Linked DNA regions of Stegostoma tigrinum. The protein of the gene in region 3 purifies or fractionates together with the protein of the main gene of each other region. This does not show direct contact. Links are inferred from orthologs where the notes say so. Each region holds a gene or a part of one and is shown on either strand. Other genes may lie near its edges. The genes, in order: git2a, git1 and serine/threonine-protein kinase PAK 2-like.

Evidence for each region.
Region 1: the proteins of serine/threonine-protein kinase PAK 2-like (region 3) and git2a purify together in Homo sapiens (affinity purification with mass spectrometry; 3 studies listed by BioGRID and IntAct, with this or other methods). This does not show direct contact. The link is inferred for Stegostoma tigrinum from reciprocal best matches to the Homo sapiens genes PAK2 and GIT2.
Region 2: the proteins of serine/threonine-protein kinase PAK 2-like (region 3) and git1 purify together in Homo sapiens (affinity purification with mass spectrometry; 5 studies listed by BioGRID and IntAct, with this or other methods). This does not show direct contact. The link is inferred for Stegostoma tigrinum from reciprocal best matches to the Homo sapiens genes PAK2 and GIT1.

Annotation. Positions count from the first base shown.
Region 1 is NC_081379.1:12,954,956-12,962,949, forward strand, and holds the start of git2a (ARF GTPase-activating protein GIT2a), read right to left. Parts: upstream 3,090-7,994; 5' UTR 2,883-3,089; coding exon 2,831-2,882; intron 1-2,830. Other genes in the region: ankrd13a (ankyrin repeat domain-containing protein 13A), read left to right, coding at 3,744-3,836. UniProt on the Homo sapiens protein: GTPase-activating protein for ADP ribosylation factor family members, including ARF1.
Region 2 is NC_081380.1:31,329,747-31,336,710, reverse strand, and holds the start of git1 (ARF GTPase-activating protein GIT1), read right to left. Parts: upstream 3,102-6,964; 5' UTR 2,931-3,101; coding exon 2,879-2,930; intron 1-2,878. Other genes in the region: ankrd13b (ankyrin repeat domain-containing protein 13B), read left to right, coding at 4,005-4,103. UniProt on the Homo sapiens protein: GTPase-activating protein for ADP ribosylation factor family members, including ARF1.
Region 3 is NC_081367.1:6,528,687-6,536,413, reverse strand, and holds the start of serine/threonine-protein kinase PAK 2-like, read right to left. Parts: upstream 3,027-7,727; 5' UTR 2,807-3,026; intron 1-2,806. UniProt on the Homo sapiens protein: Serine/threonine protein kinase that plays a role in a variety of different signaling pathways including cytoskeleton regulation, cell motility, cell cycle progression, apoptosis or proliferation.

The DNA.
Region 1 (7,994 bases), on a different chromosome or scaffold from region 3:
TCAGTCAAGGCATCTTAAACTTTTTGTTGAAAGTAGGCTTATATTTATGTAGAGTTTAGTTTTAAAGAATTAAAGATAAACACTATAAGGTATCTATGGACATTGGGACAGTTAATAGGGAGGCAATAAGCAATACAATCATAAAAGAGCAGTTTTCAGGAGACTTTCAGAAAGGTTACAAATGACTATGATCATAAAGCTGTACAGCATGTCCAACTCGGCCATGCCGTCCAGATATCCTAAATGAATCTGTTCCCATTTGCAGGCACTTGGCCCATATCCCTCTAAATCCATCCTATTTATATAACTATCCTGATGCCTCTTAGAAGTTGTAACTGTACCTGCCTCCACCACTTCCTCTGACAGGTCATTCCATGTATGCACCATTATCTGTGTGGAAAAGCTGCCCCTTAGGACCTTTTAAGTCTTTCCCCTTTCACCTTAAACCTATGCCCTCTAGTTTTGGACTCCCCTGCCCCAGGGAAAAGACCTTGACTATTCAACCTATCCATGCCCCTCATGATTTTACAAACCTCTATAAGGTCACTTCTCAGTCTCTGATGCTCCCAGGAAAATAGCCCCAGCCTATTCAGCCTCCCCCAACAGTTCAAACCGTCCATGCCTGGCAATATCCTTGTAAATCTTTTCTGAACCCTTTCAAGTTATACAAAATCCTTCCTATAGCAAGGAGACCAGAACTGAATGCAGTATTCCAGAAGTGGCCTAAGCAATGTCCTGTACAGCCGCAACATGACATCCCAACTCCTAATCTCAACGCACTGACCAATTGTAAAGACGTTTAGCCGAATGCACTGATTTCACATGAAAACGTGTTGCATACACTTTCAACTGAAACTTAGAAGGTAAAATCAATCTCTCTCCTTTGGTTAGTGTAGATTAACAATTCAAATGTAAGTCACATAAACATAAGAAAAACAGAAGTACATTTAAAAATAATAACCACATAAAATATAACACATTGTTATTGATAAGATCTTCATCGATTCATCTTTCTCCTTCAGCTGCTGGCTGGGCTGGCATGCTTTTTCAGCTTCTGTCATTTCACATTTCCAACATTCAGAGCATACTTTACTTGGAGATCTGGCATGGCCATATCATAGAACAACAATCTGCACTTACATATTGCATTTAATGTAATAAAAGGTCCCATGGTGCTTCACAACAAAATTTGACCAGACGTAGTACTAGGGCAGCTAGTGAATAGCTTGGTCAAAGAGATAGACTTTGCAGGCCACCTTCAAGGAGAAAGAAATAGAAGCAAGATTTGGGAAGGAATTTGAAAACTTAAGTGCCTTAGTAAAGGAAAGCAGAGTCAATAATGGCGCAGCAATTAAAATTGAAGATGCTTGAGGAGAAAATAAAATGAATGCAGTCTTCATGGAGGGCTGTGCATCAGAAGGGCATTAGACAGATATAGATGGGCAAAGACAAGGATAAAAAATTTAAAATTGAAATGTTGCTTGACTGGGAAACATTGTAGGTCAGCAAACATAGATGTGATCGTTAAACAGGACCCAAACAGGAGTAAGAACCTTGGGCAGCAGAGTTTTAGATAAACTTGAGTTTAGGGGGGTGTACAATATAGGAGGCAGAAATGCATTTGAACAGACCAGTCTTCAGTTAACAAGGGCATACAAGGGTCTCAGAAGTATTTAAATAAAAACAGGAACAAACCTAGCAATGTTTTGGAAGTGCAAACTCATTCTTAGCAAGGTGGTGGAAAAATATTTAAAGCTCATCTTGGAGTCAAATATGACACAGAGGCTCACGTAGTTTTCAAGGAGATATGGAGTCTGTAAACTAGGGAACAGTTTGCAGCAGGGAGCAAAGAAAATTACTTCTAAAATTCAGCGTGCAACAATTCTTCCATATTCTACCTTATTACTCAATGCTATGCATCATTATAGACCTAAAAGCAATTGCAAAATATTAGCTGCTCTCTACAAGTTACAATATTAAGTTCTGTAATTGTAAAGTCTTGACAAAGCTATCACAAGTTAACATACTACCAGCACAAAAATTACACTGCAATTGCTGAGGAAAAAAATGCTGTACCCTATTATAATGAAAATTACATCACTACAAAATAAATTGTTGAATTTCTAACTCATAAAAAATTACTCCATGTACAAAGAAACATTGAAGCAGCCATTGTACAAGGGATCACTGTAAATGCTGCTCCATTTAGAGGAATCCTCACCCACCAAAAAAAACACCAACTACAGAAGAAAAAGAATTGTCAAGTTTACAGAAAAATAAGTACAAATGAGCAAGTGAATAACAGAAGAGATATGCACAAAATCTACAAGTGGATGCATACAGTAAACTGTATTAACTCCGACAAGCAAACAGTAATACGGCATACTAATCAGTCTATGAAAGATTAGAACCCACAGCTTTAATATAAAAAATTGGTTAACAAACTAAAACTTGAATTGTGCAGACGGGATAGAGGCCACAAGTTTGAGGAAGTGGGTGCTACGAATGATTTTTATGCTGAAAATGTGCTGCTTTTTTTATAAAGAGAAAGGAAGAGCACGGTTGAAGGGAGTGGAATGAAAGAACACAAACCGGTTGCTGGATATTTCCTGGCTGCGTCCTAGTTGGCTTGCAGCGTTTCTGCATCTTTTAGCTCTCTCTCACTTCCTCCGTGTCTGTGCGCGTGTGTCAGACAGAACTGAAGCTTGTTTGAATTTCCTCTCCCAGTCCCAGTTAGCAGCACGATAAGTCTCAGCATTTTTAAACAAAAAGCATTTCTAAAGGGCCCTTCTTTTGCCCCCAGACCTTTACCTCCCCCACAATCACTTACCGGGGACGCTGCAGTCGGCGCAGATGTCGTTACTCCTCAATCTTTTCGACATGGACAGAGGCAGTTAACTAATAATGCCGTTTAATCGGGATCTTAAATAAAAACAAAAATCACACGACACACGCTAAAATTTAACGGGAGACGCGTTTTAATTCTAACTACAAACTGCCGTCAACATGAAGTTTGCACTCAGGTTACAGTTCCTGTCAGACTCGCCTCTGGCTCAAGCAGCTTGGAGACGTCGAATGGTATGCCGGGATCTTGGAGGACTGCCCGGGCGTCACGCATGCGTATACAAGCCAAACCAAACGCAGGCGTCGGAAGACGAGGAGCGCGAGGGGGGGAAAGCTGAAGTTATAAAAATGTGGTTTCCTGAACAGAAACTTTTCACACATTACTTTTCCCCCTTGCAAAATATTTTTTAATGTTACCAAATGCGACATCATGTTGAATGGAACATGTAGACCTGTCACTTTATTCGTGAGCCGAGAAAGTAATCAGCTAGTGTTTACCTGCCGATCCACTCGATACTTTAGTTTGGGCTGAACCACAATTAAAGGGAAGAGGAGGGGGGTTCCTGTAGTGTCGAAAATGGTTGATAGTGGAAAAAAGTGAAGCAAAGCATCAAGTCGTTCGACAAGTAATAATTTCACTATATCACTCTTATAAGCATACAGATCAGCAAATATGCCGACATTTATTGAAAAGGGTGCTAGTGTGCTTATTATAGACCCCTCCTCTAGGCTGGATGGATTGTATTTCCTTGTTGTCCATCTCTTCCTGTAAAGTTTTTTTGGAAAGTTTCAGAAGTTCTGTTGTTTTCTCTCCTCACCCTCCCGCTGTCCTCTTTTCACTTTAGAGGGAGGGGTTTATAGAGGAAAGGGCGGAGGTCGATTGAAGCTGAAGAACTAGGATGTGTTCATTGGAAGACGTCAAGAACAAATATAAACTTCACCTGTTGGTCTGGCGCAACCAGTATAGAGAAGTTGAGGAAGAACTGAAACAAGTAAGTCACTGATACTGGGCAAGGTTTTATTCAGCGTATGATTGCGCTTAGAAACGGTTTAAACTTCACAGTAGGTGGTGGAGAGCTTCCCTGAGATGATGTTTATAGGTGAAGATATTTAAAGTCTGTTACTGCTTTGAAGATCTAATTTTCTTCAGCCGAAAGAATCCAAAATCTTCACTAGTTCCAAAGCAACGTGTTTCCCCTTTCAGTTTAGTTAAATGGTTGAAATAGGGCGTGTTGTAAATGTTCCAAGGTATTCACACAGTTAATTTTAAACATTATTTAGTTGGAATCTTTTGAGGCTACCATAAGTGCAAAAAAACTCAAGGCAAAACTGAAAGAACTACTGTTTCCTCAAGTTAAATTGTTTAAGTTGGATTGGAATTTTTCAATATCTGATTTCAAGATTGGAGATGATTAGTTGATATGTGAGACCGACAGTTACCCTTGTCTTGATTTAATATAAAATATAGTTTTTTTCACAACAGGAAAGATGATGCACTGTTCGAGAGAGGAGCAAACTTGATAGTTTGAATTACCTTTACTCAATTTACATTGCATTATCTTGTCACTAAATAAATCTTTATAATTTTTATGCTTTATATATACTTTACAATGGTCAGAGTGAAGTGGGAAGGAAGAACAGTCACTAAAGTTGTAAGTTCCCTTCACCATGAGGACTGACATTTATAATTAGTTCTACTATATTATAATGTGACACCTATTTGTTACTGAAACAGATGGCAGAGTTTGCAAGTATAATTTCTTTTTAAATGTGTGCAATTGGTACTTCTGTATATTGTCTTATTAAAGATTATTTTATTATGACAATATACAAAAACATTAAATGATACATTTTTTCCTAATTTAGGCAGAGTAAAAGCTAGGGAATGTGTATTTCCTTTCTTGGTGGCGGTGGGGGGGAAATCAACACTTAAGGGGTCAAATCTGCATTTGCACGATTGTTTTGTTTCCCACAAATTTTCCCCATTCTAACTTTCCTTGGCCCTTTCAATAACTGGAGGGTTGAGGAATCAGTCCAAATTTGCAGTGAAGGCACTGAAGGAGAATATACTTTTTTGGTTTCACCATTTTTCCCCAGCTCTATCAGAAGGCACTGACAACTTCAACCTTTAGTTGAGAATTATACGGCATAGGGGGAGGCTGTTTCACCATCACACCCTTGCCAGCTTCCTGAAAGAGCTTTTAATGTTTTAGTACCCTGGATGTCATCGGCATTCCTGCAACGTTATTTTTCCTCCTTCAATTCTTTTTGGAAAGTTACTTTTGAATCTCTTCCACCATCCTTTCAAGCAGTGTGCCATGGATTATTACAACTTGTTGCATTTAGTAAAAAACTTTAAATCTCCTTTGGTTCATTTGCCAGATATATTAAATTTCAAACATGCCATTGGCATAAGAACTAGAATCAGGAGTAGACCATCTGGCCCCTCAAGCATGCCCTGCCATTTAATAAGATCATGGCTGATCTTTGAGACTCAGCTCTACTTACCTGCCCACTCACCATGACCCTTAATTCCTTTACATTTCAAAATTTTATCTAGCCTTGCCTGAAAAGCATTCAGCAAGGTGGCTTCAACCACTTCACTGGGCAGGGAATTCCACAGATTCACAACCCTTTGGGTGAAGAAGTTCCTCCTGACCTCAGTCCTACATCTGCTTCCCTTTATTTTGAGGCGATGCCCTCCAGTCCTAGTTTCACCTGCTAGCAGAAACAACCTCCCTGCCTCCACTTATATCTATTCCCTTCATAATCTTATATGTTTCTATAAGATCGCCCCTCGTTCTTCTGAATTCCACTGAGTATAATCCCAGTCTACTCAGTCTTTCCACATAATCCAACCCCCTCAACTCTGGAATCAACCAAGGGAATCTCCTCTGCACCCCCTCCAGTGCTAGTATATCCCTTCTCGAGTAAGGAGACCAAAACTGCACACAGTACTCCAGTTGTGGCCTCACCAGGACCCTATACAGCTGCAGCATAGCCTCTGTTTTTAAACTCCATCCCTTGAGCAATGACCAGACAAAATTCCATTTGCCTTTTTAATCACCTGCTGCACCTGCAATCCCACCTACAGCGATTTATGCACAAGGACACCCAAGTCCCTGTGCACAGCAGCGTGCTGCAATTTTTTACCATTTAAAAAGTAGCCCATTTTGCTGTTATTCTTACCAAAATGGATGACCTCACACTTATAAACATTGTACTCCATCTGCCAGACCTTTGCCCCCTCACTTCGACTATCCATATCCCTCTGTAGACTGTCTTCTGCACACTTTTCTCTACCACTCACTTTAGTGGCATCTGCAAATTTTGACACACCACACTTAGTCACCAACTCCAAATCATCTATGTAAGTTGTAAACAATTGAGGTGCCAACACTGATCCCTGAGGCACACCACTAGCCACCACCGCCAACCAGAAAAACACTCATTTACCCTGACTCTGCGTTCTATTGGTCGGTCAACCAAGCCTCTCTCCATGCCGATACATTACCTGTAATTCCATGCAACTTTATCTTATGTAGCAGCCTTTGGTGTGGCACCTTGTCAATGCCTTCTGGAAATCCAGATACACCACATCCACAGGTTCCCCATTGTCCACCATGCAAGTAATGTCCTCAAAGATTTCCACCAAATTAGTTAAACATGACCTACCCTTCATGAACCCACGCTGGGTGTTCCCAATGCGACAATTTATAGCCAGATGTCTCACTATTTCTTCCTTAGTGATAGATTCAAGCATTTTCCCCACGACCGAAGCTAAGCTAACTGGCCTAAAGTTACCGGTTATTTGTCTACTTCCTTTTTAAACAGTGGCATCACATTGGCTGCGGGAACTACCACAGAGCCCAGTGAATTTTGGTAAATAATTATGAGTGCATTTGCTATTTCCCCATCACCTGTTTATCAGGGCCAAGAGACTTGCCTACCTTTAGCCCCATTAGCTTGCCCAGCATTGCCTCCTGACTGATAATAGTTTCTAGGTCCTTACCTGCTGTAACCTTCTTGCCATTAGTTTTCGGCATGTTATTTGTGTCTTCCACTGTGAAGACTGACACAAAATAACTGTTTAATGTCTCGGCTATTTCCTCATTCCCAGTTAGTAAATTGTCCTTCTCATCCTCTCTTTTACGATTTACATATTTATAGAAACTTTTGCTGCCTGTTTTTATATTCTGAGCTAGTTTACTCTCATCATCTATCTTACTTTTCTTTAAAGGCCAACAGAAAGCCACAAAAAAAGTTAAAGATTTCCCAGTCTAAAATGAGAACTTTGATTTTAAAAACTGCTGCTTCTCACAGTTTGCCAAACTTAAAGCCAATTAAACAATTGCTATTGTGATACGTTATCTATGTAACTAAAGAAAATATACAACCATGACAATGACTGATAAAGAAAACAGGCTGCTGACAAATGTTTTGGTCTTGCTAAAGTGGTGGGGGCAGTAGCCTGCTCTCCTTTCTCCTTCTTGAATATTTTGCTCAGAGCCTGCCCCTGACTCATTAGCCAGCTTTAAAGTGATGCAAGGTTTCTTCCCTTCTTGCCCTCCTTAGTTCCCTGTGCGCACTCCTATGTTCTACCTTGCAATGCTTTTAGCACTTTCTGCCTAGTGTCCTACTGTGTGGATTTCACTTTCCCTGTTCAGCTGTGGGACTGTTTTACTGTCCCCAGGATGAACTAGGGTCACTGTCCTCTTCCTGTTCAACTGTGGGGCTCTTCACCATCCCCGGGGTGAACTAGTCTGTTGAACATCTGCCTCACACAGGACAACTCCCTTCTCTCCCTTCATTCTTTTAAATACTGCAGATTATAGCTGGGGCCAACTACGAGGTTTGTTAAGGGTGATATGTCAAACATATTCACTTAATTGACACTCACATAGTTGCAGTACCCACATTGCTGCAACAGTTGTTAGAGACGAGTCTTGAGTCCCGTGTTCAGCAGTACAAATCAATCTTTATTCAGAGAGTTTCCTACCACATATCCTGGAAGAGGTCACTGGAGACAGATTCCAAAATAAACCCCTCCAATAAAATACAGAATATTTGTACATTCCACATTAGAATGATTGCATGCAACGTTGACACCAGCACTTGCCACCTCCCCTCTGACTGTTATGCCCCTTCCT
Region 2 (6,964 bases), on a different chromosome or scaffold from region 3:
TTACATACGAGATAGAGGTCTATGCCAAGAACCAATGGTGAATTTAGTCCATAAAGTCTTTTAAAATTAGGCAGCTACTTGAAAAAGGAAAATAATAAAAGATGCATGAGGAAGTAGATGTGGAAATTAGACCAAGTCGTTTAAATAGCAAGAGTAATCAGTACAGACTTAATTGGGCAAGTAACCCACATTATAAAATTAAGATTTTAAGTATACTTCACAGAATGGAGGCCTATAATTCATTACACTTTTGATCAAAGGTTTAAGCGACCAGTGAATCAACAGATGAAATTCTCCAACAATAAGGACTTGGGCTTCATTTCTTTTTCCTGAAAGCCAGGTTTATTTTTCATAATATGACTACAAGTAATGAGACAACGGCTTGCAATTGCCCAACTGGAAATGCTTCACTGGATCATGTGTTCAAATCTATGTTATTCCAGATAGTGCAATGGCTCAGAGGTTATTGTATTGTATTATATGATATTATAAATTGTCTGCAGTGTCGAGGGATGTTTGGGCTAGGTGGATTTGCCCTGGTAAATGTGGAGTTATGGAAATAGGTTGGTGGGATGCTTTTTGGAGGGTCAGTGTAGATTCAATGGGCTGAATGGCCTTTTTTGGCACTGTATGGATTCTATGATTAAAAAGTGTAAGATGTATAAACTAGTTGTTAGGAAACAAGACATTTTAATGATATTTGGAAATAAACTTTAATAGCCCACAGCTAGTATAATCTCTTCAGAGGGTCAGTGTGGACTTGATGGGCTAAATGCTCTGGTTACACTTTCCTCCCCAGTGTTTGATGTAATCCACACTGCTTACAGCTATGTCCTTTTCAACTCCAAATATTTGTGTAGGTGTGCAACTACATCTCTTGCTTAACACACACACTTGGCCTGGAGGATATCTGAATTTCTCGCCCTTCTTGGAGACAATGGTTTTGATTTCGAGATGTTTAAAAATATTTTGATAAATTTATGTTAATTTCCTCTGTTTGATGCGTGACAGAACTCCAAAATGGAATATTACTAACGATTCTCCCATCCACTCCAATTGTCTATAACATGAATAATCAAAAAACTTTCTTCCTCCACATCCCCAACATTTAGTTGTAAGTGCTCCCATCTTCCATCAAAAAGTCACTCAAATACAAATAATTTACATATAAAACAGGACAATATGTAACAATATTTTCCATAGCAAATGTTTTCAAATCACACATCTCAACTTAAAAACACAAAAGACAGTCTCAGGATGTGCAGTGAGTGCTTGGAATTAATAGAAAACTTGACATAAGCTTTAATTTTAAAAATGCATTAACAGAACATCGCACATTATTGTTCATAATTACTCTGACTTTAAAAACTGTAAAAATAGTTAAAAGATGCATAAGACCAGCATACAAAGCTCAAAGCAGTAGATGTCACGCCATCAATAACAAGTTTTTTAAAAAAAGAGATCTTATAAACCTACATCATAAGCTCTCCTTTCGGCTTTTCACAAATTCACTATTTTACAACTGTACTAAGTAGTCCCAACTGCATAATTTCCCCTATCCACTGCAGTCAACTACTGGGGCAGCACCTTGGATAGGAACATGCGCAACACTGGACCCTCTTCTTAGCGCTAGATTAACATGATGGTTGACAGCAAGACCATTCAAGTGTGTAGTTTATTTTTGAATACCAAATATGCACAGAGATGATACCAAACACAAATAACCTCAAGAAATAAGTGAGTTGATTTCATTTTTACAGGGTTAAAAGAAAACAGAAATAACATTCAACTGTCAAAATTACCATAAAACTTCAGAATTCAAACATGTGTCATGAGAAAGCCAACATGATTTATAATCTATTATATTGTGTAAACTTCAAATTTTGAATTATAGCTAAAGATAAACATAATATTCAATTGGCATAATCACAATTACTGCAAACTCCCTTTTAAAAGTATACAGCTCACTCCAACAGATTTGATGTGTGCCAAATTAGATCTGATATCTCCTACAAACTTAAATCACAGCTCAGCTGGCAGACAATCAACTTGCAATTGTGCCTCCGCTGTTATGTAACTCAGTGAATATCGCAAAATAGAACACTTCAAAATGGACCGAATCCTATTTTTGATCTATATGCGAATAATTAGAAATCCACCTCAAATGAAAAGTGAAACAGATGGCTAAGTTTTCGGGTCAGATCGTTTTGAATCAATAAATCAGATACCAATGAAAAGTTTTACACATCAATTAAGACTCTCAGTAGAGTAGAATCAAAGTCGTTGCATACAGCAATTCGATCACAAAGAATCACTGGTTTCTTAGGGATGGCATCGCGAGTTCATCAAACCGGTTACTGTGTCCGGTTTATCACTGGTCAGCCTTGGGACAATAGCCAATACTGCAACCGGGAACTTGACGTTTCCAAACAAGACTTTCACAAGTGGCCACTAAACACTTGGGAAGGAAGAGGCAAGCACACACGCGCGCGCGCGCACACACACACACACACACACACGCAGCCCAAGCCGAAATGGACCATCCTCTCCACATGTAACGACACAGGATTCTCAGTTCAGTTTCCAATCCCCGGCACAAATGGCTGACCGAAAACCCACCGCCTGGCAACCGGTGCCAGGGATTGGGTGCTGACTGCCGACCGCTGACCGACCGACTGACCTGACAGGCCCCAAATCAGAGCAACCACCACCTCCTCCCTAACACCCCCAAACCGTATTGCCCCACGGACCCCGTCGTCCTGTAGAAGCAAATGGGGAGGGGGTTGGTGGGGGGGTGGGGAAGGGGTTCGGGCTGATTCCCCGGGCTCCCGAATTGACCACCACTCTCTTTCTCATCCCCATTCACCGAGTCACGTACCTGACGCGCTGCAGTCGGCGCACACTTCGTTGGGCCGCAGCTTTCGGGACATTTCTGCTCTCCTCGATGATGATGATGATGATTCTCCCGGTCTCTGCTAATTTATTCCCAGCGCTCACCTCCTCCCCTTACCCCAAACCCCGCTACCTCTCCAGCCCCTCCTCCGACACCGCCAGGTCTCCAAATCTCTCAGGGCCAGTGTGTTTAGCGCAGACGCATCCGGTTCGAGACAAGTTACTGGAAAACCGCAGCTTTCCCCCGCCCGCCCCCATTCCCAGAGCAACCAGGAAATGACGACAAGACCCGGCCCGCGCAGCGCAGCCCAACCTGCTGCTGGTGGGATTCCCAGCGCCGTCACCTGACTGGCAGCAGGCTTGCCCAATAGACAAGCCGCTGCTTCCCAATTACGTCACCGCAGGCCAATCAGCCCTCATCAGCCGCTAAGTTTGGTAGACACTGGGCGAAGGAACGAGCACCAACAGGAGGCGGGACGTGGAGGCGGTAACCCGCCTCAAGGTGTGCTGGGATTTGTAGTTCTCGCCGGTTAGCTGGTGCGAGGGTGATGTCATTGCCCAGAACGGAGCACTTTCAGTTGCCTACCCATATTCATACATATTAAAATTATTTCCCCGGAATTGGTCAAAAACATGTAGCTCATTTTAAATTGCAAATTCCCACTAATATTTATCACCTCAACGGACGAACTACAGCTCCCAGGAGGTTTTAAAACAGCGCATCTCCAATATTATAGATAATGGGGTTGGTAATAAATTTAAATGCGCAACTACTGCATTTTCTCACTAATTGGTACTCATGATGAACGGAAAAAAATCAGTAGTACATGCTAATTGGCCACGTTGTAGATTTTCTTTATATTATTTGAAATCTACGCTCCATACGTATTTTCAACCTGCATATTTCCCCCACAGTAACTTGGTAATTCCTCACCCTTCGATTTTCTCCTACTTCCTCTTTTCCCACACAGTTAAAGCAAGAATTACAGCGCTTCCTATCGTCCGATATTCAGCTGCCGAGCAATATAGGGATTGGTGCCTGTTGCCAGGGGTTTGACTATCTGCTGCAAAGGTAGTTTGCATGTTATCTGGAAGAGAAGAATGATATCAGAATGATTTCTGCGAGAAGGGTGGCAGAAAAATATCCGTTGCATTATTTGGTTTGGCATAATAGATACAAGGATCTGGAAAAGGAACTTAGCACCAAGCAGGTGGGTGATGTGTGTGTGTATGTGTATTTATGGGGTGGTGCAATGCAAGTGGAATTGACTAAATGCTATCAGATGCAGGAACATAGACAAGTCGCTGTTTAATTATAAATCGGAAATTAAATGCTGTCAGTCGGAAGAATTGGAGATAATCTATTTTTTTCTACATTAAAAATATTCTTGGATCCGAATTGTGACCATATCCGTTTTCGTGCATTAGGTTGGATGGAATTGTGCTAGTGCCGTACAATTAGCTGATTCCTTCGTTGGGTTATGTATTGTTTAAATATGCTTCTTCCAATAAGGATTAAAAATCATGATCGCGAAGTTTTCATTATATATTGACTTTTAGTCTTTATTTTCTTCGGTCACTTAAAGACGAAATGTGTGGTTACTATTCTCCGCTTACTATCTTATATGGAAATGAGGCATCCATAGTAATACGGGAACCATATGTGTTCTGTAGTGGAAAGAAGATTATGCCAAGTGCTTTAAAATATTCCCGTAAATCCTGATGCCCATTTTAACACCCAAAACGAAATCCTGAAATGGGTTCCAATATCAGTCGGTCTCCAAAAGGAAGTTGCCATATTGTGTGTGTGTGTGTATGTATGAAAAGAAAAGCATGTTGGTCTGTCAAAATAAATGTTCTGTGGAAGTAAGGCAACTACAAGCTCACAGATTGGGTTCAAAATAAACCGCAAACTAAAAGACCCTGGTTTAATTATCTCACATAAACTTCTTTTGAGAAGATCTGGAATTTCAATTTAGTTCCAAACTGTGCAGATACAAAAAATATTTTCGTAGGGTTGCACCTGTTTCCTATCAAATTGATAAATATCGTTCAAGGTTCTGTCGTGCTGTCTGATGTAGCTTTCCGGCTAGAATCAAACGATGTTTGATGAATTGTAAGAAACCTTTCGAGTCTGGATGTCGTTTTAGCATAGTTTCTCCGGTGTACAATGGCTCCGACCGACACTTGATACAAGAGGCCAGAAAAAAGGATGGGACTGTCATCTCTGTGGCTGCACGCTTTAAAGAGCTGAATGCACAGTTAATCACACAGGCGCCAACCATTCCGCGCCCGGCACACTGAAACATCGCTTTTCCAAGCATGGTCTCTATGTCAAACCAATCTGATTGATTTTTGAGACAGTGGAAATTTGTTACGTGGTGTAGAAATGAAAAGCAACAGGGAAATTAGTGTATTCATTAAAATGTCAGTATCACATTATTTTATTCAACCGCCATGTCAAATAATTGTTAGAAAAAGCAATAAAGAATATTCGACAGATGTTAGCGAGATAAAGTCAGTAATATAAACCGAACCTCTTTAACCAGAATTGTCCGTCCCCATATGCAGACTCAGCTCAGATTTTATACATTTAAAAAAAAGACTGGATGCAGTGAGTTCACAAAACCTATGTGAATAAGCACATTGTTCGGTTTGTGCTGTAAGTTCCAATTTTTGGGTGATGGGTGATCAGTAATCAGAAACTAAACAGGTCAGGCAGCCTCCGTGCAGCGGAATTAACACGGCCCTCTCCAGAATTTTGGTGAAAGGTCATCGACCTGAAAGGGTCACTGTTTGTCTCCAAAGGCTGCCTTACCCGCTGAGATTTTCCAGTTTTTTTCCCGTGCTCACTTCGCATTTCCAGTATTTTACGTTTGTGCCAGAAACGGTAAGATTGGGAGTCACAAGACACAATACTGGTCTTCCTTCCCGTTTAGAAGTTGGTTTTTACTTGAACTTGAATTGTTGAAATCAGGCGCAGAACTATTCCATCTCTCTTGAGCGAGTTCCGATTTACACCGAGGCGGAGTCTGAGTAAACGGTTACAGCACAAAATACAGCCTTCGTGACCAGGAAACTGTTCTCATGCTAAGGTGCTGAATGCAACTGACATTCCCTTGTGATCATATTGGAGCTGTGGGCACGGTAGTAACTGGCTACCATTTGGGAATCAATAAAACAAAACTGTTTTTACCCTTTTTGGAAAAGACCAAATCACCCCACCCTAAAAGTAGCCGAAGCCTTTGGAAGGGCTCCGCTGCTTGTGATGTGCAGCAAATGCATCTCCGCATTCTTCCGACCCGTTCTGTTGCAACTTGTAAGGGCAACTGTGACGGTAAAGTGGAAGTAGCACACACCGACCCTCTTGCTGGCCTGGCCTCCCGCCACAATCCGCAACTGACAGGTGAAAATACAGGAGGTCAACATGACTCTGGACCGGAAATGCAGCAAACGGAGCAAAACACGTTTCACGCATCCTTTATAGAACTGGGAGAAAAGCCGCTGGCACACGGTGTCACTGAATGGGGCTTTAGCTATATGCAGGAACTAGAGGACGCTCAGTGTATTCCGAGAATGCACAAAGTCTGAAATACTGCAAGCAATTACTAGGACAGAGTTGGGAACGATTATGTTAGGAATTGGGTGTACAAAGCCTCCGGTAAATGGAGTGAGAATGCAGAGTTCGAGATGAGGTTGGGGGCGGGGGTGGTTTGTGGCGGGATTCTGAATTTCTCACGGCTGGCGATGACCGGGTCCGATCTGAAACAGCCACAACACCGTGATGGTTTCGTCTATCTCCCTGAAAACGGGGGTCTACCTCAATCAGTTTGCATCAGCGTTCTTGTACGACGCGTGTGAGCTTGTGTAGCATTGCAAAATATGTTCCAAATCGCGGTTTCTGCTGTAAAAAAAACAGAAAAAGAGGGGCAAACAGCGGCCAGTTCCTTACCATTGAAGCCCAAGTTAGATCGGGGTGTCTATCAATAATCCAGCCAGCCCCTGTCCATATAGCCCCCATTTGGCCGATAATTGTAACAAATGTATCACGCAGACAAGATAATCGATTAGC
Region 3 (7,727 bases):
ATAGTTGAGCGATGTGCTGTTTCATTCATTACTGGCAACTCTCTCAACGCAAGTGGTGGTGTTAAAATCATTGCTTACAGGACCTGAGCACACAGAGGTGCATTACTGCAGCATTTTCACAGAAGTGCTGAGAAACAGAATTTCCATCAGCAAACATTTGCTGTCAACTTTGTGATTTTAAAAGTGGCATCTATCCACTACATTTTGTTTAATTTTAAAATAATAAAAGGATGAATAGATCACAGCCAGACAAATGTCACAAATATTTTCCCTCAAAATCCAATTGAGAATTCTCAAAGCCACCTGTGCTTCACACAGTTTACAATTTCAGGCAGACCGAGGACTGGGCCTTGCGGTGCGCTCACTAACTGAGGCACTGCTTGCATTTTAGACAACCAGTTATCAAACTGGAGTCTTCCAAACACACCGTGCAACAATTGAAGACAGATGAACACAAGAATGAATACAAGTAACAAGGTGCTGGAAGTAAAATTCTTGAACAGCAACTTGGCTCAGTCCACACAACTCTCACTGTACCAGGACTTCATGAGTTCAAGTCCCACTACTTTAGTGTCAAGGATACTTTACTGTCAAGGATATTGATATTCCAACAAGACGTTAAACCAAGCTCTACTGATCCTATTCAACACATCCTGGAGAATAGCTGTCTCAATCAACATCACCAAGACAAACGGTCAATGAGATCAATGATAACAAAGTGTGGAGCTGGATGAACACAGCAGGCCAAGCAGCATCTTAGGAGCACAAAAGCTGATGTTTCCGGCCTATTATCTCTGATCACAATTTTAGCCTCACTGCAAAGCCTCTTCCAGGGATGCCTAACCTGAAGAAGTTACCCTCCTCCCACCGGACCAACCTCAGGGATCCATCTTCGGTCCGCCTCCCCCTCTCTCCCTATTTATTTCAGAACCCTCTCCCCATTCCCCTCTCTGATGAAGGGTCTAGGCCTGAAACGTCAGCTTTTGTGTTCCTAAGATGCTGCTTGGCCTGCTGTGCTCATCCAGCCTCACACTTTGTTGTCAATGAGATCAATGTTGTCTTTCTCATAGCAGTAGCCCCTTTGAAGTTTTCACTGGGGCTGGAAGTGTACGCAAGGCACTATCGTCACATAACGTAAATCGTTCTTTCAATATGACAAAACATTGTCTTATCCAATCTAATGTGACTTCAACACAATTTCATGAAAGGGAGTAGACGTGGGGATTTCAGCCCCTTCATTTTCACATCCTTGTATTCTGATAAGTAGTTTACGAAAATTTGAGGAACTAAACCAAAGTAAAACAGAGCAGGTTCAGGCCCGTATATCCTGCTTGGAATGTAGTAAATATTCAAGTCTTGACTGAACATGAACTGACTGCTTTGCTCCATCTGTGACAATACCAGTGCAGCTGCTGCTACTGCAAAATTACAGTCCTGTTTAACAGGTCAAGTGCTTTACATACAACATGTCACCTTTGTACCAGTGACTGTCAGACCGACAGGGGTCAGTCTGCCTCAAAAGAATGCATTTACATGTTGTCTATTGAAAAATCCTAATCATCTTGCAGTTTTAATTAAAATAATGTTTCTTGATAAAATCAACACCTCCTGAATTCACACAAGTACTTCAGAGACAATATTTCAGACGGTGTGTCAAATTACACTAATCAGATCAAATGAACTCAATATTCTGATTAAATATCACGAACATTTCACATCTACTACACACACAGACAACTCTGGAGTACCATATTAACCACTTCCCTCAGAGACAGAATTCTGGTCGCTTGCCACAATTTTCAGCACAAGACTCTAATATAGCCATCTCTTCTTATTCAGAAATGAGCAGTTGCGCTACACTGTTGCACTTCCGCTCAAAAGTTTCCCAGTGCTAGAGCGTCAGGAAATGGTAGAGACTGATCCTATTCTGGTTTGAAAGTATAAATATCTAAACTTCAAAAATTGTTTCCCAAGACTAAGGCAGTAATATATACATTACAAGATTTCCCCAGACTTCCACATACTTTCTCCTGAACTAATTCAATTCCTCTCCCTTGTCAAGATACATCATCACAATTTGTCACCAATTCTGAGATCCCTACTCAGCTTCCCCTGCACAAAGCTCACCAGAATATCCTCACTGCTTAGGAGACCCTCTTCCAGTTCTAAAATCCACACACATTATTTTCATCTTCCACACACAAAAAAAATACTTACCCTAACCTAAAGATGCCCCCACACAATACCTACACCTTCACCGCCACCTCAGCTCAGCTCAAAATACATCATCACGTCTAAATCAGACATCAAGCACAAACTTCCTCATCCTTTCAAAAAACCCCAGTCCCTCCCACTCACCTGTGCTTCATTCTCTCCCATTTGACAAACACCCCACATTCATCATCCGAACATAACCCCTCGCTAACCCCCTTGACCCTCCCCCAATTTTAACCCCACACCTGAATCCGCTTTGCACTCCTTGCCAGATTCCCCCGAATCCTCACCAACACCTCCTTCCCCTGATTTCCCCCATTCTCACCCGACCCCCTTTCACTTCCAAAACCCCTATTCCCCCTTCGCCCCCAACCATTCCCACCTCTATCCCTCACTCCGCCTTCATTCCCACCGGAAATTCCTCTTCCACCCACCTCCCCAAAGCAGCTCCCAGATACCAGGCCCTCTATTTCCCACCCTGGCCCCAGGTTTCTCCGTGAGCGGCAGGGATTTTAAACTGAAAATGCGGCAGGTGCGGGTCCAGGGGTCAAGGAGGTAGCTGGCCAGCGGGCGGGCAGAGGCCTACACTCACCCGGACTGCAGCGCTGGGTCTCCGGCGGTAGGGGCCGTGCAGCCTGGGGGCTTTCCCCCGCCCCCGCCGCGGGGCGGACAGGGACACACAGAGAGGGAGGGAAGCGGAAGTGAAGCCCGGCCCCGGCCTAGGAGCGACAGCGGCAAGGGTCGGAGGACGGGGTGGGGGAGTGGGCAGGACCGAAAGGGGCCCGTCCCAATCACCGGCTCCTCCTTCTCCCACCGCGGCCGCTTGTTCCCTTCCCCAAGCCACTGACTCCCCCCGGTTCACGCCGGGATTTGTAGTCCAGGGCCTCGGAGGAGACGTGGATAGCAGGCCGAATGGCGTCCGGGATCTCACCAGGCTGGACTACACTTCCCGGCATGCACGGCGGCCTGCTGCCTGATGGGATAGAAACCCCGTCTTCCGAGCTGCTGGAGGACTTCTCCGGGAGGCACCGGTGCTGTTACTGTTACCATGGGAACACAGCGTTGACTCTGTTGCTAAGCAGGGAAGAGGGCGGCGGAGCTGGTGCTGATTAATTCTCACTTATTGAGAGACCCTCCCTCCCCTCAGAATGGCTCCAGGAACCCAAATTATTACAGAATGCATGCAAATGGAAGAAAATCATGGGAAAGCTGCCTCCTGAGTTATCTGACTCTTGCCTGGAGGTGATGCTGGAAGCAGCAAGGGCCAGAGGAGAGATGCCCATTCCTCTGGATGGGAGCAAGAGGCCAACTGCTCCCCGCTCCACCAACAAAGAAAATAGGATCAGCATTAGGCCATTGAGCCCTTCAATCCTGTCCTGCCATTCAATATGGTCATGGCTGATCACCCTCAGTACTCTGCTCCCGCTTTCTCCCCATACTCTTTGATCTCTTGTGATGCAGTGGCTATATGCTGCAGATGCTGTCAGCAGCAGGAGTCTGGTGCTCAGCATCTGAACACAGTGGCAGAATCGGGGAAACCAAGTGGAGGCTTGGGGACGGCTTTACAGAACACCTATGCTCAGTTCGTGCTAAACAACTGCACCTCCCAGACATGAACCATTTCAACTCTTCCTCCCATTCCTCTGATGACATGTCCATCCTGGGCCTCCTGCAGTGCCACCCGAAGGTTGCAGGAACAGCACCTTATATTCCGCTTGGGAACCCTGCAACCCAATGGTATCAATGTGGACTTTACAAGCTTCAAGATCTCCCCTCCCCCTACTGCATCCCAAAACAAGCCCAGCTTGTCCCCGCGTCCCTAACCTGTCCTTCCTCCCACCTATACCCTTGTCCCACCTCAAGCCGCACCCCCATCTCCTACCCAATAACCTCAACCCGCCCCCTTGACCTGTCCATCCTCCCTGGACTGACCTATTCCTTCCCTAACTCCCCACCTACACGCACCTGTACTGGCTCCATCCCCGCCTCTTTGACCTGTCTGTCTCCTCTCCACCTATCTTCTCCTCTATCCATCTTCTATCCGCCTCCCCCTCTCTCCCTATTTATTTCAGACCCCCTTCCCCTCCCCCATTTCTGAAGAAGGGTCTAGGCCCGAAACATCAGCTTTCCTGCTCGTCTGATGCTACTTGGCCTGCTGTGTTCATCCAGCTCTATGCCTTGTTATCTCAGTGTTGGAACTTCCTGTTTGTGTTCATGACCTCCTTCGGCCAGGAAAGATTCTTGTCGTTGCCACTTTGACAGCGTCTTCCATCACCCAACCAGGTAGGTGTCCCTACCTCCTGGCTGGCAGATCTGAGTTCAGGCCCCATCTGAACCCTTAATGGCCAGTGAAAGTACATCAGAACATGGCCCAGCAGGTTGGTTATCAATATATAAATCTTTATGATTCGGTAAAAATAAATGTGCAAGTTTCCTGGCCAGCCAGAATCAGGTGCTAGCGACAGCACAAGCCTCCCCACGTTAAAAGACTCCATGCACAGGTTCTTACCAGGATTGAGTGTTTAGCCTTGCTGTGGAGGTCTACCACACACAAACATGCTCTCTGACTTTACCAGAATTATCCCTTCAGGCACTCCTCTGATGGACCAACCTTGCAGTTTCACACATTCCTTTCTCCCCAACTACCTCCTCAAATCTCCATCTCAGCAGCCAACATTCAGACCGTAATTAACCACACCCATCCTGGACAATTGCCCTCCACAAATGTTCTCATTCCATCCTTATCACAAATTCCAATTCTCACATTCATAACTCTCCACTTCAGAGGTGAAAGTAAGTTTTGAAATTTGATTTGAGGTTACATTTTGACTTCCCGCTGCTGCTGGTATCTCTTCCAGCCAGGAGGTATGTTGTTGTTGTGGTATGTTGTGCTCCCCTCACATCCAACTGTGGCTCATCAGCAACCACTCTGTTATTTCCCTCATTTAATTAGAGCTAGTTGAACAGCTATTTCTGCAATTCTCAGCCTTGCCTGAGGAAAGACATTTCTGCAGCTTTCCAGCTCTGACCAAATACCAAAACACTAACAGTTTTTGTTTTCTGGATGCCATTTTTAGACTCCTTTTTGCACTCATGATTTCAAGGACCTCTTAATGACTGTAGTCTGCATTTGGAACTTTTTAGCATGTATCTTTGCACCCACCTTTCAAAGGTTTCCATTTTCTCCCCATGCATTTTTCTAATTGTTTGGGTTTCCGATGCATACAGGAAAGTGGATAGAATCTAGCATTTTATTTTCTTGCTACATATCTGAAAATTGTACATTTCCACCGACCCATAACATTTCACCGCCTTACTATTCAAGTACTACTTATCTCTGCCTCATGGTATTTAAAGGCTATTTTCTTATATTTAAGTATGTATTTAATTTTATTTTATATTTTAGATATTTTATACTGAGTTTTAATCAGAAAGAGAGTTAAGGGTTTTGGGGAAATGCAGAAAACTGGAGATGAGGATTATCAGATCAGCCATGATCTTGTTAAATAGTGTAGCGAACTCAATGGGCTGAATGGGCAGAATGAATCTACCCTACACCTTGTGTTCTTATGACCTTACCTGAAATGACAAAGGTTTTATTAGTTAGCTCTGCTACTCGGCACTTTTTAGAGATCATTTCTATTAGTCACTAATTTATTCAAATTATTGCTTTGGAATTTTGTTTCAAATTCATGTTTAGTATTTATGACTTTATCTGCCCAAAATTTGTTAGCTGGCCCTGTATGAGAGATAAATGGAAAGATAGTTCCTCATACAAAACAATTGGAAATCCCTGATATGTTTGTGTGAAGACCCCAAACATTTGGCATTAGCTAAAGACAAAGATGACACAAAGCTAGGTAGGAAAATATGTCAAAAGAACATAAAGAGACTACGAAGGGATTTAGTCAGGTAAGTGAGTGGACAAAAACTTTCGAAATCAAATTGGCAAAGATGGCCTGTAGGATGTGTTCCTGGAATAGTTTCAAAGACAATACACACTGGAAGCTACAAGGGAACAACTTTATCAATTGGGAATGAAACAGAATAAATTAATGACCTTTACAGTAAAGGATGCCTTCGAGAGGAGTGAATAAGGCATGAAAGAATTTGAGATTCAGTTTGAGTGAGAACTGCAGGTCCATAACAAATCTTTGGATAAAGGCAGAAGGATGTCCAAACAGTTAGCGAAAGTCAATAGTCTTCAAGGTTAAAGATAAAAAGTCACCCCATGAATATTAGAAAATCAATCAGCAAAATGAAGGAAGTGAAAGAAAACAGTCACCAAAAAAGCACAGGAAAAGCAACAGAAATCAAACACACTGACAAGTCCACTGGATCTGATTGTCTGCATTCTGTGGAATAAATGAAACTAGCGACAGAGAAATGGTAAATGCATTGGTTGTAATCTTCCAAAATTCCCTAGATTCTGGAACAGACCCAGCCCAGTGGAAAACCAGAAAATACACCTATGTCCAAGAAAGGAGAAAGACAAAGAAATGATAGATTAGTTACTCCAATGTCTGGCATTAGGAAAATGCTACAATTCACTACAAAGTAGGTAGTGGAAGGACAATCTGAAATTAATACTATCAAGGAGAGTAAATATGGTTTTGTGAAAGAAAAATTTGATTGATATTTGCAGTAATGTCCTTTAAGAATGTAACAAGCGACATATTTAAAGGGGAACTAGTAGCTGTAGTGTATTTGGATTTCTGAAAGGCATTTGATAAAATCACTGCATGAAAGCCAACCACAAAAGGTAAGCATTCATGGTGTTCAGGGTGTTTAGCATGTGTAGAGAATGAACTAAGAAGATAAAAGTGGTTGAGATAAATGTGTCATTAGTATGATGACAAACTGTAACTAGCAGAATACCACAGGGATCAGTACGAGAAACTGACTATTCACCATCTATGTCCGTGACTTTGTTAAAGGGACTGACTGTTTTGTAGCCAATTCTGCTGATAATACAAAGATAAGTTGGGAATTAAATCTACAAAGAATGGGGAGTCAGAAATTATCAGATATAATGCAATGTGGGAAAATGTGAGGTCATCCAATTTGGCAGAAATAGAAAAGCAGACTATTATTTAAGGCAGAGAGACACTGCAGACTTCTTATATATATCACAAATAATCAGCCACCAAGTGCAGCATGTCATTCGGAACACAATGGATTTTAGGCTTCGGCACCCTTGTGACACATTGGTAGATCTCTACCTCTGAGTCAGGTGGCCTAGGTTCAGATCCCACCACTCCAGAGGTGTTACATCCCTGAACAAGTTGATGAGGCAAGTGTTTGGAATGTTGGCATTTATTACAAAAGGAGTGGAGAATACAGGTAGGGATGTCTTAAAACTGCAGAGGCCATGAGTGAAATCACATTGAGCACAACTCTGGTCAGCTTAAGGAGGGAACCCTACTTACACTGGAAGCAGGAGGAGAGTCACTTAGAAGATTTGCAGGATGAAGAGGTCTGTCTTATAAGGAGAGGTTGAGCAGAATGGGCTT